Linked DNA regions of Rattus norvegicus. The protein of the gene in region 2 binds, or shares a complex with, the protein of the main gene of each other region. Links are inferred from orthologs where the notes say so. Each region holds a gene or a part of one and is shown on either strand. Other genes may lie near its edges. The genes, in order: Wnk4, Klhl3 and Wnk3.

What was found.
Region 1: the proteins of Klhl3 (region 2) and Wnk4 are in contact, whole or in part, in a crystal structure (PDB 4CH9), measured with the Homo sapiens proteins. The link is inferred for Rattus norvegicus from reciprocal best matches to the Homo sapiens genes KLHL3 and WNK4. Residues at the interface, in NP_059111.2 of Homo sapiens: Arg339, Phe355, Gly357, Ser358, Leu359, Arg360, Thr386, Phe402, Gly404, Gly407, Ser432, Tyr449, Gly451, Ser481, His498, Arg528, Tyr577; in NP_115763.2 of Homo sapiens: Glu557, Pro558, Glu559, Glu560, Pro561, Glu562, Ala563, Asp564, Gln565.
Region 3: the proteins of Klhl3 (region 2) and Wnk3 are in contact, whole or in part, in a crystal structure (PDB 5NKP), measured with the Homo sapiens proteins. The link is inferred for Rattus norvegicus from reciprocal best matches to the Homo sapiens genes KLHL3 and WNK3. Residues at the interface, in NP_059111.2 of Homo sapiens: Lys312, Arg339, Phe355, Gly357, Arg360, Thr386, Phe402, Gly404, Ser405, Gly407, Ser432, Ser433, Tyr449, Gly451, Arg454, Cys456, Ser481, His498, Arg528, Tyr577; in NP_065973.2 of Homo sapiens: Glu537, Cys538, Glu539, Glu540, Thr541, Glu542, Val543, Asp544, Gln545, His546.

The regions. Positions count from the first base shown.
Region 1 is NC_086028.1:86,705,213-86,709,530, reverse strand, and holds part of Wnk4 (serine/threonine-protein kinase WNK4), read right to left. Parts: coding exon 4,317-4,318; intron 3,455-4,316; coding exon 3,234-3,454; intron 2,939-3,233; coding exon 2,781-2,938; intron 2,229-2,780; coding exon 2,140-2,228; intron 2,061-2,139; coding exon 1,844-2,060; intron 1-1,843. UniProt on the Homo sapiens protein: Serine/threonine-protein kinase component of the WNK4-SPAK/OSR1 kinase cascade, which acts as a key regulator of ion transport in the distal nephron and blood pressure.
Region 2 is NC_086035.1:6,526,852-6,531,846, reverse strand, and holds the start of Klhl3 (kelch-like protein 3), read right to left. Parts: upstream 3,361-4,995; 5' UTR 3,284-3,360; coding exon of another isoform or gene 3,242-3,283; coding exon 3,228-3,241; intron 1-3,227. UniProt on the Homo sapiens protein: Substrate-specific adapter of a BCR (BTB-CUL3-RBX1) E3 ubiquitin ligase complex that acts as a regulator of ion transport in the distal nephron.
Region 3 is NC_086039.1:23,734,684-23,739,001, forward strand, and holds part of Wnk3 (serine/threonine-protein kinase WNK3), read left to right. Parts: intron 1-2,191; coding exon 2,192-2,521; 3' UTR 2,522-4,318.

The DNA.
Region 1 (4,318 bases), on a different chromosome or scaffold from region 2:
AGATGTCACTCTTAAAGGACTGAATCTTGAGTTGAGCTGGGCAGTGCTCTGGAGATTGCTTTTGTGCCAAAGGGTCTCACTGTGTATGCCTGGATGGCCTGGAGCTCACTGGCTGGATTCATAAGTGATTCATTTACCTCTGCTTCCTGGGATTTAAAAAAAAAAAAAAAAAAGTGCCCCAGGGCTGGAGAGATGGCTCAGTGGTATTAAGAACACTGACTGGGGGGTTGGGGATTTAGCTCAGTGGTAGAGCGCTTGCCTAGGAAGCGCAAGGCCCTGGATTCGGTCCCCAGCTCCGAAAAAAAGAACCAAAAAAAAAAAAAAAAAAAAAACACTGACTGGGCAGAGTTTGTGATTCGGACGAAGAAGATTGAAGTCATGGCTGGTCCAGAAAGTGATGGCCAATTCCAGTTCACTGGTATTAAAAAATATTTCAACTCTTATACCCTCACAGGTAGAATGAATTGTGTCCTGGCCACATATGGAGGCATTGCTTTGTTGGTCCTATACTTTAAGTTAAGGCCTAAAAAAACCCCAGCTGTGAAAGCAACATAAATGGATTTTGAAATGTCTGGCCTCATCTGTTAAGTCCCATGCCTGAAGAAGCTGATGTGAACTCATCATGTAATACTCAATTTGTACAATAAATTATGAACCTGAAAAAAAAAAAAAAAAAAGGAACACTGACTGTTCTTCCAGAGGTCCTGAGTTCAATTCCCAGCAACCACATGGTGGCTCACAACCATCTGTAATGGGATCCAATGCCCTCTTCTAGTGTGTCTGAAGACAGCTATGGTGTACTTATATACATAAAATAAATAAGTAAATCTTTTTTTTAAAAAAAGAGCCCCACTAAGCCAGCATGGTCTCAGCTTCTTGACTCATCACAGATGACCCTTGACCTTGAAACTGCCATTTCTCTATTGAGAATCCCATATTCTCACCCTCTGCCCATTCAGGTTCTCCTCACAAGCTTTCAAGGTTGTGCTCTGGCATCTTCTATCTCCACAGTACTTTCTCTTCCACGGATCTCTGCTCCTCACCTCCCCCTCTCCTATTCAAATCAATTTAGCCGTGGGCTTTGCCGGGTGAGTAAAAGAAATGTGGTAGGGCCAACTGATTTCAAATCTGAACAGCTTGAGATTACATCCCTCTTTGTCATTTGTTTTCTTGGGACTCTAGACAAGACAGTCACTCTCTCTAAGCATGCATTCCATAGCCCTCCAAAGAAGGTCACGTGAAAAATGCTTTCTTTTTTAAGCCACATATAATGTTAAGAAGCATCTGCTAATTGCCAAACAGTAAAGGACCGAGGGGAAAAAAAAATCAATAAAATACTGTCTGGCCACAGATAGTTTCTAGTCTAGCAGAGGAGTGAGATGGGAAATGTATTCAGGTATAAAACAAAGCCCAAGGTTTGAGGTGGTTTCGAGCCCCCCCCCCCCGCCCGCCCCCAGATTTGAAAAGAAGCATTCAGCGTTTACACAGGAGGAGTGAGCGTCCTGGAACGGATGGTGCTAAGCATAGAGACAAAGAAGGGGGAGAGGGAAAAATAAATAGATAAGTTGCCAAGAAGGGCATTCCCGTGATAAATGAAAAAATGAATCTGCGTGCAAAGAAGTGACGTTAGGGTTTCCCGGATTTGTTCTGGGGGAGAACCCTGGCGTGCGCTGGTGGATTAGGGCAGAAGAGGCGGAGAGACCCCTGTTGGAGCTGCAGCTCTGAGTAGGAGCCTCCGCTCGCTACTCTAGCGCTGCACCTTGACCCCTCCTGTTGACTGATGGCAGGCTGGCTGAACCCTTTACACACTCCACCCAAGTAGGATTATCTATACTCTCCTCACCATCTCCTGAGCCACCTCTTCCGCTGCATCCCGACCGAGCTGGAACAGGAACTCGATGGCCTGGTTGTCCCTTGGGCGCCCCCCGCGTCGTGCGTCCTCCATGCGCAGCCAGAGTTTGAGACCCGGCTTCTCTCCATCATCTTCCTCTGCCAGCTCCACATGCACACCACGTTCCTCGCGGAAGAACGCGTGGGTCAGAAGATCCTGGATAGTGAACCTGGGGACCGTGGGGGCAGTGAGCGGAGCCCGCTGCCACTGCCCGGTCATCTTCATCCCGTCTCTGTCCCGGACCCCACCTCTCATTCTTATCCGTGCGGATGCAGCCTTCAATGATCTCCTTCACCTCTGGCATCTTCACTTTGTAGAAGCTGTTGGGCTTTGTGCCCTGAGAGAAGGGATCTCATGAGCCCCCCCCCGCCCCCGTTGCCCACGCCCGCCTCGCTCAGCAAGTCTGCAGTGCAGGCAGGCGCCCAGGCTCAGGTTGGGGGAAGATACTGGTACGGAAAGACTTGATTTCAGATCCCATTCCCCCACCTATGTTGGTGTGACCTTGCCTGAGGGTAGAAAGTTTGCCTGGCTCTTCTAGTAGGGCAACTAGAAAGATCTACTGAGACTGGATGTGAAGTTGTCTGTAAGCATACACATCTTCTTACCAGCTTGTGTGAAGGGTTTATGTACATACAATATATGTCTGTTTCTCCAGGGCATCTTTTTGTCTGGCCTGGCTTTATTAAGGATAAATGTTTGTGTGTGTGTGTGTGTGTGTGTGTGTGTTACATATACACACACATATATAATTTGATACATGTATAATATATACCCTTCACATATGTTAATATAATGTATGCTAATGTTATGTATTAGCAGGCTAGTTAGAGGGTAGAAGAATGGGAGGGCCACTGGGGATCCCTTCTTCCCCAAACCCCACCCTTCTCACCGAAGTGACCTTTCGGTAGATTTGTGCTGCGTTCTGACACTCAGAGTAGGGATACTCAGACGTAGCCATCTCCAGCATGCACATGCCAAAGGCGTACACATCCACAGCCTCGTCGTACTTTTCCTCATACATCTCAGGGGCCATGAATTCCGGGGTCCCTATTGGACCCACAGAAAGGATCAGGCTTCTTTCTCCTGGTCTCCTCCCTCCACTTAGGTATATCGCACAGGGGGGGGGGGGGTTGGGGGTAGCTTTAATAGCCCAAGAGCAACCCCAGGAGTTCTGGAGTGCTGGTGACCAACTCTTGCCCAAAGCCTGTGCTGGGGGCAGGAAAAATGGGTCGCCCTAGTACGCTATCTCTCCAAAGCCCTGATGGAGTGGAGTGAGGGGTCCCGTGCTCTTTTCTGATGCAAAGGAGCTAACAATGGCCAGGGTCCTGCTGGAGAGACACACCAATGACGCTCTTGGCAAAGGAGGCGCGCTTGAGCGTGGCCAGTCCGAGATCTCCGATTTTGACAGAGCCTGAAGGGCCGGTAATGAAGACATTGTCACATTTGAGATCTCGGTGCAGGATGGGGGGCACTCGGGAATGTAAGAAATGAAGTCCCCGTAGGATCTGGCGACTCCAGCGCTGAAGGACTCGGGGCTTCATTTCTCGGAATCTCCTCAGGTACCTGGGAGAGGGTGTATAACCGTGGTCAGGGCGGGGATATCTATTCCAGGCTGGAAAATTCCTTATCCCACCCTTGCCAACACCTCCGCTGTCCCCAGCCAGCATTATTTTAATTTAGACTGGTCTGGGTGGGAAAGAAACTGAGTCAATGAGTGAGGTAAACAGGTTACAAAAAAAGTTCTGATGGTAACTTCGAAGATAGGGCCCGTGCCCCGGAGCACCGGAAGGGATGACTAACAGTCCAAGGGTTGGGAAGGAATAACTTTTGTCTTGAAAAAATATAAATTCAAGGGTGAAAATGGGGAGGGATGGAGATTTCCCAGGCTGGAGAGCCACAGGAGTGACAGTTCAGAATGGGAGGGATCACAGAATTGGGGTTGTTTGTAACTTCAGCTCAAGAAGAGAGTGTCTGAGGGAGTGAATGCACTTTACCCCCAGGGGAGTGGGAAATCCTGAAGGGGTTTAAAAGAGCAAGTCAAAGGGTCAGGCTTCCCCTGGGTTGCAGGAAGATAGGATAACTTGAAGGGAGGGCAGATTGGGAAAGGCTCTTTAGGAGGGCTTCTGGGAGTTGGGAGGGGTCAGTGGTATAGCAGCAAGGTAGAGGAAAAGATGGGGGGGTGCAGTGGGAGGATGTTAAACAAAGACTTAAGTGACCCCACTGTTGAGAAAGAAGGTACATTGCAGTAAAGATACCTAAAGTTTTGACTGGTATGCTTGGTGTACACTGGCATTCACACAGTCTAGTAAGTGGGAGAGAGCCTGGTTTCAAGTGTGGAAGTTTGAAGTGACTGGGAGAAGTTCCCAGAGCCTTGGAGTGACGGGTGACATTCCACCCCTCCCCTCCCACCCAGGCCAGAGCTCACGT
Region 2 (4,995 bases):
ACGCTTTCAAGGTAAAAAGTACTCTGGTACCCTCGTAGCGAGGAAAAATAATTCATAGAAACCTCTTGGCTGAAATGCCTTAATGCTTAAAAATAGACCCAATTATGTTCCAGCCGGTTCGGTGTGGAGCAAGCACGAGATGCAAGAACTCCTCTAGTCCCTGGAGGTCGGACTCGTGACCCGAGCCAATCACTGGGCTTTCAGCCTTGGTTTCCAGGAAACTTATAAACCAAAGCTACGTCCGTCTCTTCCTTCATCCCAAAGGTTTCAAATGAGGCTGAGATAGCCAGCTTGGTAACCAAGGCTGTCCAGGGAGCCAAGGCTGCCCAAGGTCTACATCTCTCACCTCTTTAGTTAGAGCTGCTCACGAAAGTCACCAGCTAAGGCTGAGATCCAGAGAACAAGAGAGAACGGGGTGTCTGTGTCACAGCCTCTCCTCCCAGAGCTCAGGCATCTCCATGGAGAGAGTGTGAGGGGTGGAAGAGCAGAGCTGGTGGAAGGGTTCAAGGAAACCATTTTCCCAGATGAGAAGGCAGCTGCACACATGAGCTCATGGCAATCGTGACGGCATGCACGAGATCGATGTGAGCCCAAGACAGACAAAAATCCCAACGGGGGAGCCAGAGGAACCACAAAGTCCACCCCCAACTGGAGAGATACTAGCATCTGATAGGTGGCAGGAGACAGGGGGTTTGATAGCTGGTATACTGTCCACACTCCAGGGCAGGCCTCACACCAATAGTAACTGGGTAACACAAACTGGGGGAAGAGAGAGAGAGAGAGAGAGAGAGAGAGAGAGAGAGAGAGAGAGAGAGAGCTGGATGGGTTAAGAAGGTAGGAATGGGTCTGGGAGTACCTGAGGAAGGGAAAATGAATATGACCAAAATACACTGTAAGGAACTCTCAAAGAAGTAACACTGGCTTACGTTACTAGTTAACTGAACAATTACTACCCAGCACCTGCTGTTGGCAGAGCCATGGAGTAGTCAGTGAGGAATACTGAAAAGTATATGCCACCATCCTTCTATGAGGACATATCTCTAAGTTTGAGGACCTGTAAGTCACACAAAACGGAAACACTAAAAGACCTGCTGGGCCTAGCATTCAGGTCTAAAACACAGACAAGAGGTTTAGCCAGGTGGGGTGGCACGGGCCTTTGATCCCTGCACTCTGGAGGCAGAGGTAGGCAGATCCGTGAGTTCCAGGCCAACTTGATCTACAGAATGAGTCCCAGGGCAGCCAGGGCTACATGGAGAGACCCTACCTCAGCATCTCCACCCAGTCCTCCAAAAAAGAAGTTTTTAATGTAAGAATATCAATGCGGAGTTTTTAAAGAGCTGCGTTTTTCCCCCAAAACCAAAACGGGAAGAAATGAGCGGAAAGAACTCCAAGATCGGAGGATTTGCGGTGGGAGAGAAGGCGTGCGAGTGTGACGGCAGAGTAACTCTTGGTGGGTGGAGCGGCGCGCGTTGGGACAAGAGACAGGAGACAAATGGGGGGCGTCTTGTTTGGTTGGTTTGTAAGCTGTCCCTAGAACAGGGACCAAAAAGTAAGGACCTGGGAGGCCTGGTGAATGTCGGAAATTCTCACCTCTACTAGAAGCAAATGTGTACTCAGAAGCCACAGACATGAGCTCCCCTCACAGACCGGTGAGGAGCTCTTCAGAAGAGGAACGATGGACTGTGGATGTGACCGCTGCCCCCCGAAAGCTGAGATGGCAGCAGCCTCGGGCCAGCCTCTCAGCCTAGATATGCTGAGGGTCACGCGAGCGGACACGGTCCAGAACCTTACACTCCTTTCCTCACTCCTTCCCACTGCCATCTATCAGGCCATTGGGAGAGGGCAAGGACACTGTCCACCTCTGCCCCAAGGCCTCAGGATGCCCTGTTGTTCAGGGGGCTCCTGTTGGAAGAGAGCCTAGAAAGAGACTGCAAGAATTATAGTCTAAAAAGTCCTAGCACAATGGGTCACGACCCTTTGCAGGGGTCAAACGACCCTCTCACAGGGGTCACCTAAGACGATCAGAAAACACAGATGCCTAACAGTAGCAAAATTGTAGCTATGACGTAATGAAAATAATTCGATGGTTGAGGGGTGGGGGCGTCACCACAATATGAGGAACTGTATTAAACGGTCTCATCGTTAGGAAGGTTGAGAACCACCGTCCTAGACTCTTCCTGTGACTGGGACTATCACGAAGTACTGGTCTCTAAGGCTTTTTCAGACTGGAGAGTGAAATGAGCCACACCTGTTCTCACAGGGGCCCCGACTCGGGACAAGCTGTGCACATTTGTCAAAGTACTCTCCAACTGCAATGGCACGGGTTTAGTGGAGCCTGTTCCGATGTAACCAGCAACTCGCAACTCAGAGGAACAGCCGAACTGGCCTCTCCCTGTGATCCTCTCTCCTCCAGTAAAACAGTAAAGCCGTGGTAAAGCCGTGGTAAAGCCCGTCCCCAGCGCCAACCCGAGGATGAGGAGGTGGTAGCACAGAGAGACTTCTGCTCTGTAGTCTGCCAAACTTGGCCCTGCACTGAGCGCCTTCACAATGGGAAGATCAGCTCCTCAGATAAATGAAAACTGTCTGTGCTCCTGCTTGCCAGGAGACAAACCCTGGCCGGCTACTCCTGCTCGACTGAAATGCCTTCAGTTGGTTCCTATTTCGTGATGGGAGAAACAAGGGTGCCTGTAAGACACAGACCTTGCAGCATCTCTCAAACTTTTTGACACAGACGAAACCGGTTGTGAGCAAATGCCGTCTGACCGTGTTCTTCCTTTACCCACACCAGCACAGAAGCCAGTGTCCAGGAGCACACACGTAACAGACCCGGCATGGTTCTTGAAGAGTCAACCACTTAGGTGTGAACCAGGCAAGTTCCCTCTCAGAGGCCAGCCCTGCAATACCATTAAATCCCCACCACCACAGACAGACACTTTGGGGAACAAGACGGGACTATTCCCAACACAGGCCAGGAAGTTCCTTCTTTCCGTGTGCTCCACTGCCCAGCAAACCCAGACTTTCCTTGGTAGGAGCCGGGTCTCTGGAGCATTGAGCCCTGGAAGAGGTTTACCAAAGAGACTTGTCTGTCCCCACTCTGCTTTGGGATTCTGCAGTTGCCAGGATCCGCAAGCCTGCTTAGCTGATGCAAACAAATGTCGGTGGTTACACCTTAAGCTCGTGTTTGCTTACACATGCATACTGCACTCAACACACTTACACATACGTACCTTTCGCCCTCCATTGTGGGAGGCCCGGCAGGGTTAGTAGCCACCAAACTGTGCATGCACCCGGGAACTGGCGCTGCTCTCTGGGTTCTCCCAGCAGCCCCGTGAGGGACCCTGATCAGCGACCGTGATTCGGCATGGCTGCAACTGAGAGCTCCTTCCCTCCCAATCCTCCTTCCTCTGACTTACTCGCGGCAGGCTTCTACCGCAGAAGCGACGGTGCTAGAAAATGTCTTACCCAGAGCTCCCTGCAACCCTTTCAGCTGCTAAAAGCAGCAACCCACTCGCTTCCCCTCCCCCGCAGACTGGCTTCTCCTCTGTCTCCTAGGAACAGCCAAAGCCTCGGCGGCGGCGGCAACCCAAGGGCTGTGCCACCTTTCCAGCTGCTTCCACATCTGCTCAGGCATCCCCAGCCTCAGCGACTAGCCCACCCCACAGTCTCCGGCCTCCTCTGCTGCACTACAACGGATCAGCCGGATCCTCACTACCGGAGAAAAGCTGACCCCTCCTTCTCTCCTCCTCCTAGGCTGTGAGTCTGTGGGCCTGGCCAGATTGCTGGAATGAGGAGGCCCCTCTGTGGCCTGCCATGGAGTTTACCCACCTGGGGAAATTCACTCGTGAGTAACACCAGCGCTGCCTGATTTCCCCCTCCCCGAGCCCACGGTAGTTCTGAGATGTGACATTAAGACAAGTGGGCTGGGGTGGGTGGGTGTCACAGAACTGAAATGAGTAAGGAGAATTAGACATGGGGGCCGGAGCCAGATGCGTTCTGTGCAGAGGGGGCGGGGAGGTGCATCGGAAACAAACCCCCAGTATTACAAAATGCCAAAGACCACGGCAGTGATCACCACAAGAACACTGCCTGGCTGTCGCCCTGGGCCACACTGAAAGACCACCGCAACAGAATCGCTTTCTAAAGCCTGCCATGCTGAACCTTAGACAGGCTGAGCCCCCCTCTCCAGCTAACCTGTAACCTCTAGATGTTGGCCCTACCTGGAGTGGCTCCTCTAACCCCGATCCTTGAGACTTTAAGAAAGGGCAGTAAGTCTTCTAAAGCCCTCCCCAAATCAGACCCGTGACAACAGGTGCCCCCCCAACATAAACTTCAAAGGGTCTTACCCTTACTGTTCATCTCCCCCTAACTAAATGTCCTGAGGAGTGTGCTTTGTGCATGCCTTGTTTCTTAGGCTAAAAAAACAATCTCGTGGAAAGCAGGAAGCTAAGTGTGTATCCTCTAGAACCAGGGCTTGGAGATAATTGGGTCAGTTAGTGGTGAAAACTGACTCAGAAGCTTCCCTGACAGTACAGAAAAAGCCAGACATGAGCGCCCATGCCTGCTCTAGGACTCCTCACCCGTCAGCACACCCCGCATCTTTGGACGGGCATCTTTGGAGGCCCAGAGCAGCACTGACTGAGTGGCCTTCCGCTGGGTGTCCTATGACCTCATGCTCAGTCCTTCATTCGCAAGACACTCCCTAGAGTCTCAACTCCAATAATTGTGAGCTCTACACAAGCTGAAAGGGTCCCCCTTTTCTTCTCGGTGCTCCCCAATCATCTGCTTAGCGGTGCTGCTTTCCTGGGTGCTCATGTAAGTGGGAACTTTAGGAGGGTGCAGATGACGCCTGTGTAAGTAGGAAAAGACGCTCGCTCCGTGCTACTCGTTCAGCGTGGGCCTGCTAAGTTTCTTCAGCGCTGCGCAGAGCCCAAGTCGTCAAGCAAAGGAACGCAGGTATCGAAGCTACGGGCGCTAATAACTTGGACTTGACGTAAC
Region 3 (4,318 bases), on a different chromosome or scaffold from region 2:
TCTGAGGAGTAGAATGGGGTCTCAAATGTGGTCATGGGAAGGAATCCTGTTTCAAGAAAGATAGATCACTATGGCACCCCAGGACATTAATAGGAAGAAACTTGAATCACTGTTCCTTTGTTTTCACTGATTGAAGCAAGAAGACAGAATTTGGTAGGATCAGAGTCAATGTTTTCTGACCAATCAGGAGTTAGTCACAGTAGTCTAGCTGATATTTAAGAGAGAAGAGACAGGGTTTGGTAATTGAATGACTGTATGCCTTGGTTAGTGGTGGCTGCTGTTTGTGTATTATTCCTGAATGTTGATCCCTGAAATTGTGCATATGAGCAGTATGGTAGTGTAGGGGACAATTGGCTGTTTGGGCAATTGAATCAGATATGTTGGAATATTTAAGAGTAGACTTATAACCTCTCTGAATCAGTCTTTAAAAAGCATACTATTGTTTTTAAAACAATAATACTCATTACACAACTTAACTAATGAAAAAAAGTACAAATTTTAAGATACCACTTTCAAATCCTACCACCCCAAAATGGTAACTGTTAGATCATTGTCTATGAGTATACATAGGTGCATAGAAATAACTTTATTCAACTGTGATCACACTATATTGCCATTTTGAATCAGAAGCATTAAATTTAATTTCACCTTTGAAGATAGAAAATACTGAAAAGAGATAGCTCAACTTTAAATAATATATTTTGTAACTGAACATATATTGCCATTCATTTTCATGTAAAACTTAAAAAAACACTTTAATCCTAACTTACATTGAGAGTTTCTAACAAAATTATAATTGAAAGTTTAGTTTTAGCTTGAACTAAGGATTTGAGGCTAAAATAATTATTTACATCCATTGGAATCATAATTCCTATGTGCATTACAAATATAATCTCTATACACATGTTTAATTGCAATATTAAACAGGAATATATCTTTTCAGTACTGCCTAAAACACAATTGTCTTGTGATTTTGAGTTTATTTTAGAAGAACGGAGGGCTGAAAAGGCAGCCTAATCAGTACTTTCCATGCCAAGTGTGAGGACTTGAGTTCAGGCCTTAGAACCCATATGAAAAAGCTGGGTGTGTGTGTGTGTGTTACATGCATAACTACCAGCACGGGCAGGAAGAGACAAGTGAATTCTTGAAGATTGCTAACTAACCAGCCTTGCCTATTTAGTGAGCTTCAGGCCAGTGACAGACTCTGCCTCACAAAACAACTTTGATAGCACCTGAGGAATGACCCCCAAAGTAGACTGCTTGCATCCATATACACATGAGTTCACAAGAATAAAAGTAAATGTGTAAGAATATGACAGAAGGGGGTTGGGGATTTAGCTCAGTGGTAGAGCGCTTGCCTAGGAAGCGCAAGGCCCTGGGTTCGGTCCCCAGCTCCGAAAAAAAGAACCAAAAAAAAAAAAAAGAATATGACAGAAGAGCTAGAGAGATTGATGATTCAGGTATTAAAAGCATTGGCTGCTCTTTCCGAAGGCTTGGATTTGATTCCCTGCACAGCCCACATGGTGACTTAATTCTGTCTCCAGTCCCAGATGATTCAGTGCCCTCTTCTGTTCTCCATGGGTTATACATACATACACACATACACACAGGCAAAATGTCCATACAAGCAAAATAAAATAAAAAGAATATAACAGAAGTGTCAAGTTTTAAGATAGTGTAAAGGGAGCAGAGGAGATGTTTATCGAGCATCTACTCTATGTTAGGTCTCCTTGTTACACTAATTATGTTCCTCTGTCTGGAGAATTGTGCAAGATGGTCTATTTCCATCTATGCATACAGTCTAAATGAACATTCATGGCTGGCAGAATGAAGGAAAAGCAAAATAATAGTGTTAGCATGAGTAAATTAGAGACTAAAGTGTGAACAGGGAGTTAATATGGGCCTTGGAGTTATCAGGAGAGGGCTGAAATCCATGTCTGATTTGCTTGGTGACATTGGGTTACTTACTAATTTTAGTTTCTGTTTTCTTATCTGAATAATGGCTATACTGGAAGGCAAGGCAGTTAGGAAGATGAGCTGAAGTAAAGAGTGTTACTCATGCAGACCTCACAGAAAGGTGCTCTACTCAATTTAACAGAAGAAGGAGTGAGGCAAAAAGAATAGGATTGGAGACTGAGAGAAGAATGTGCCAAATGAACTGATATTTTGTTTTTATGTTTGTTTTCATTAGAGCACTCCATCTACTGTGGGATACACATCAACCTGGATTTCTTCTCTCTCCCAAATTCGCGGAGCTGCCCCGTCTTCCTTGCCACATGGACTCCCACTCCCTTCATTTCCTGGGCCATTAGCGTCCTATGGAATGCCTCATGCTTGTCAGTACAATCCCGTAGGCGCCGCAAGCTATCCAGTACAGTGGGTTGGGATTTCGGGAGCAGCACAGCAATCCGTAGTGCTTCCTACCCAATCTGGGGGACTCTTCCAGCCTGGGATGAATCTGCAGTCATTTCCAGCTCCACCAGTGCAGAACCCACCTTCAATCCCTCCTGGTCCCAAATGAGTCCAAGTCAGTGCTGAAGGAAGGGGAGAGAACTTTCAGAACACCTGTGATGCTATACTTTCTTCTTGAGTTCTGCCATATTTTTTCTCATTCATCTCTACTTTAAACTGTGTTTTTTGTTGTTCTAATGTGATATTTGATACAGCTCATCATTCGGTAGTAATGTGCAATTTGCACAAAGAATACTGCACACAGAAATGTTTTTTCACTTCAAATCCTATCCTCTTTGATACTTGATTTTTAAAAAATCCTGTTCCAAATGCTCTACTAGCTCAGCTTAAGTGTTACCATTTCCAAGACACCTCTCCTGTGTGCGGACATGCACTCACCTGCCCGCCCTCTTTTTTATCTGCTACCAGCAGTTGTATGATACTTCTCTTTAACATGTGTTAAAAAAAAAAGTATGTGGATTGGTTCTCCCCAAAATGTGGATGACGTAAGACCCTCCAATAGCCAGTCTTGTGGGATTCGTCATGTCTGTCTTAGGTTTACTTTTCACAGAAGGCAGTAACTGGCTGCAGGATCTGTTTTGGTGTATAAATGTAGTAGACTTTTGTCAAGCAGTACAAAATCTGAGTGTTTTTAAAATGTGATTTTCTCCCCGTCATCACAGCAGGAGGAGTGAGGGCTTGTTTGGAGTGAGGCGGAGGGAAAGGCAAAAGCAGAACTGTAACAGTTCCTTGAACCTACAGCTACCAGAGCTGCTTCTGGGTTTCAGTCATAACCCAAAGCAGCCACCTTTTCTCATGTGCACACCGCTTTGGTTTGGAGCATCCGCGAGGCACTGGTTTGGCTTGCATTCTTTCGCTAGGCATTGCAGCTGATGTGAATCTCATTTGGGGGGGTAATCCTTGTAATCCTAACCAAGGAGATTCAGGTTAACACTTCTGTTAATCCATTCTTCTAAAGCGAAATGTACTTGACACACTAGGGTTTGTAGCTTTTGAGACTTTTGCATAAAACACTGGCTTTACAGGGTTCTAAGAGATGTAGGATACACTGTCCTGCAGTGAACTAGTACACCCTAGGATGATATTATTTAAATTGCCTTTAACCTTTTTTGATGACAATGTTTGGGTTGTTATCATTTCTTACTAGTGTCTATAGACTTAGAACATTTTAGATCTTAGATGCGTTTGTCAGCCTCTTGAGAATTTGAGAGACTTCACTGTCAAGTTGCACTTTACTGGGTTTTATCCAGTTTTAGGAGGAGGGAGGCAGTGTCAAAATGTACACCTGTGGTTTTCAGGAAGCTTAACTGTAGTAAATCTTACGTGCTAGTCACAGGGTCACCTAATTTTCAGTCTGTGAAACCCAAATAGAATTTTTACTTGGTATATATCTATATATCAGCTCCTCTGTATACATGTTCAAAGACTTATCATTCACTGAAGCTTTGAAAGTCCTTTCAAATACATGTTTTCCTATTTAGGAATTCTCTTGGTAACCATTCCAACTTGTCTTCGTTTCTCTTAACAGATTTTCTTCCATATTCCTCTAAAACCTTACCCCCATGGGCTTGCCGGGAAGTGAGGAAACTTAATGGGTGTGCTTTATTTTTTCATACAATTTCATACTTTGTGACATTCAGTGCCCCTTTTAAAAGTTGTCTTATGTTGCTTACCTAAAGACCACACCCATCATCACATTTTTGTCTCTGTTCCTGGGGACATTCTGTGGATTGCTATTGATTTAAGAGCCACGGTTTCTTTTCCTAAGACATCATGTTTTGGCTGAGTCCAGATCATATGCACGGATTCCTCAAATTCCTTCCATGGTATTGCTTTGCATTTGAAG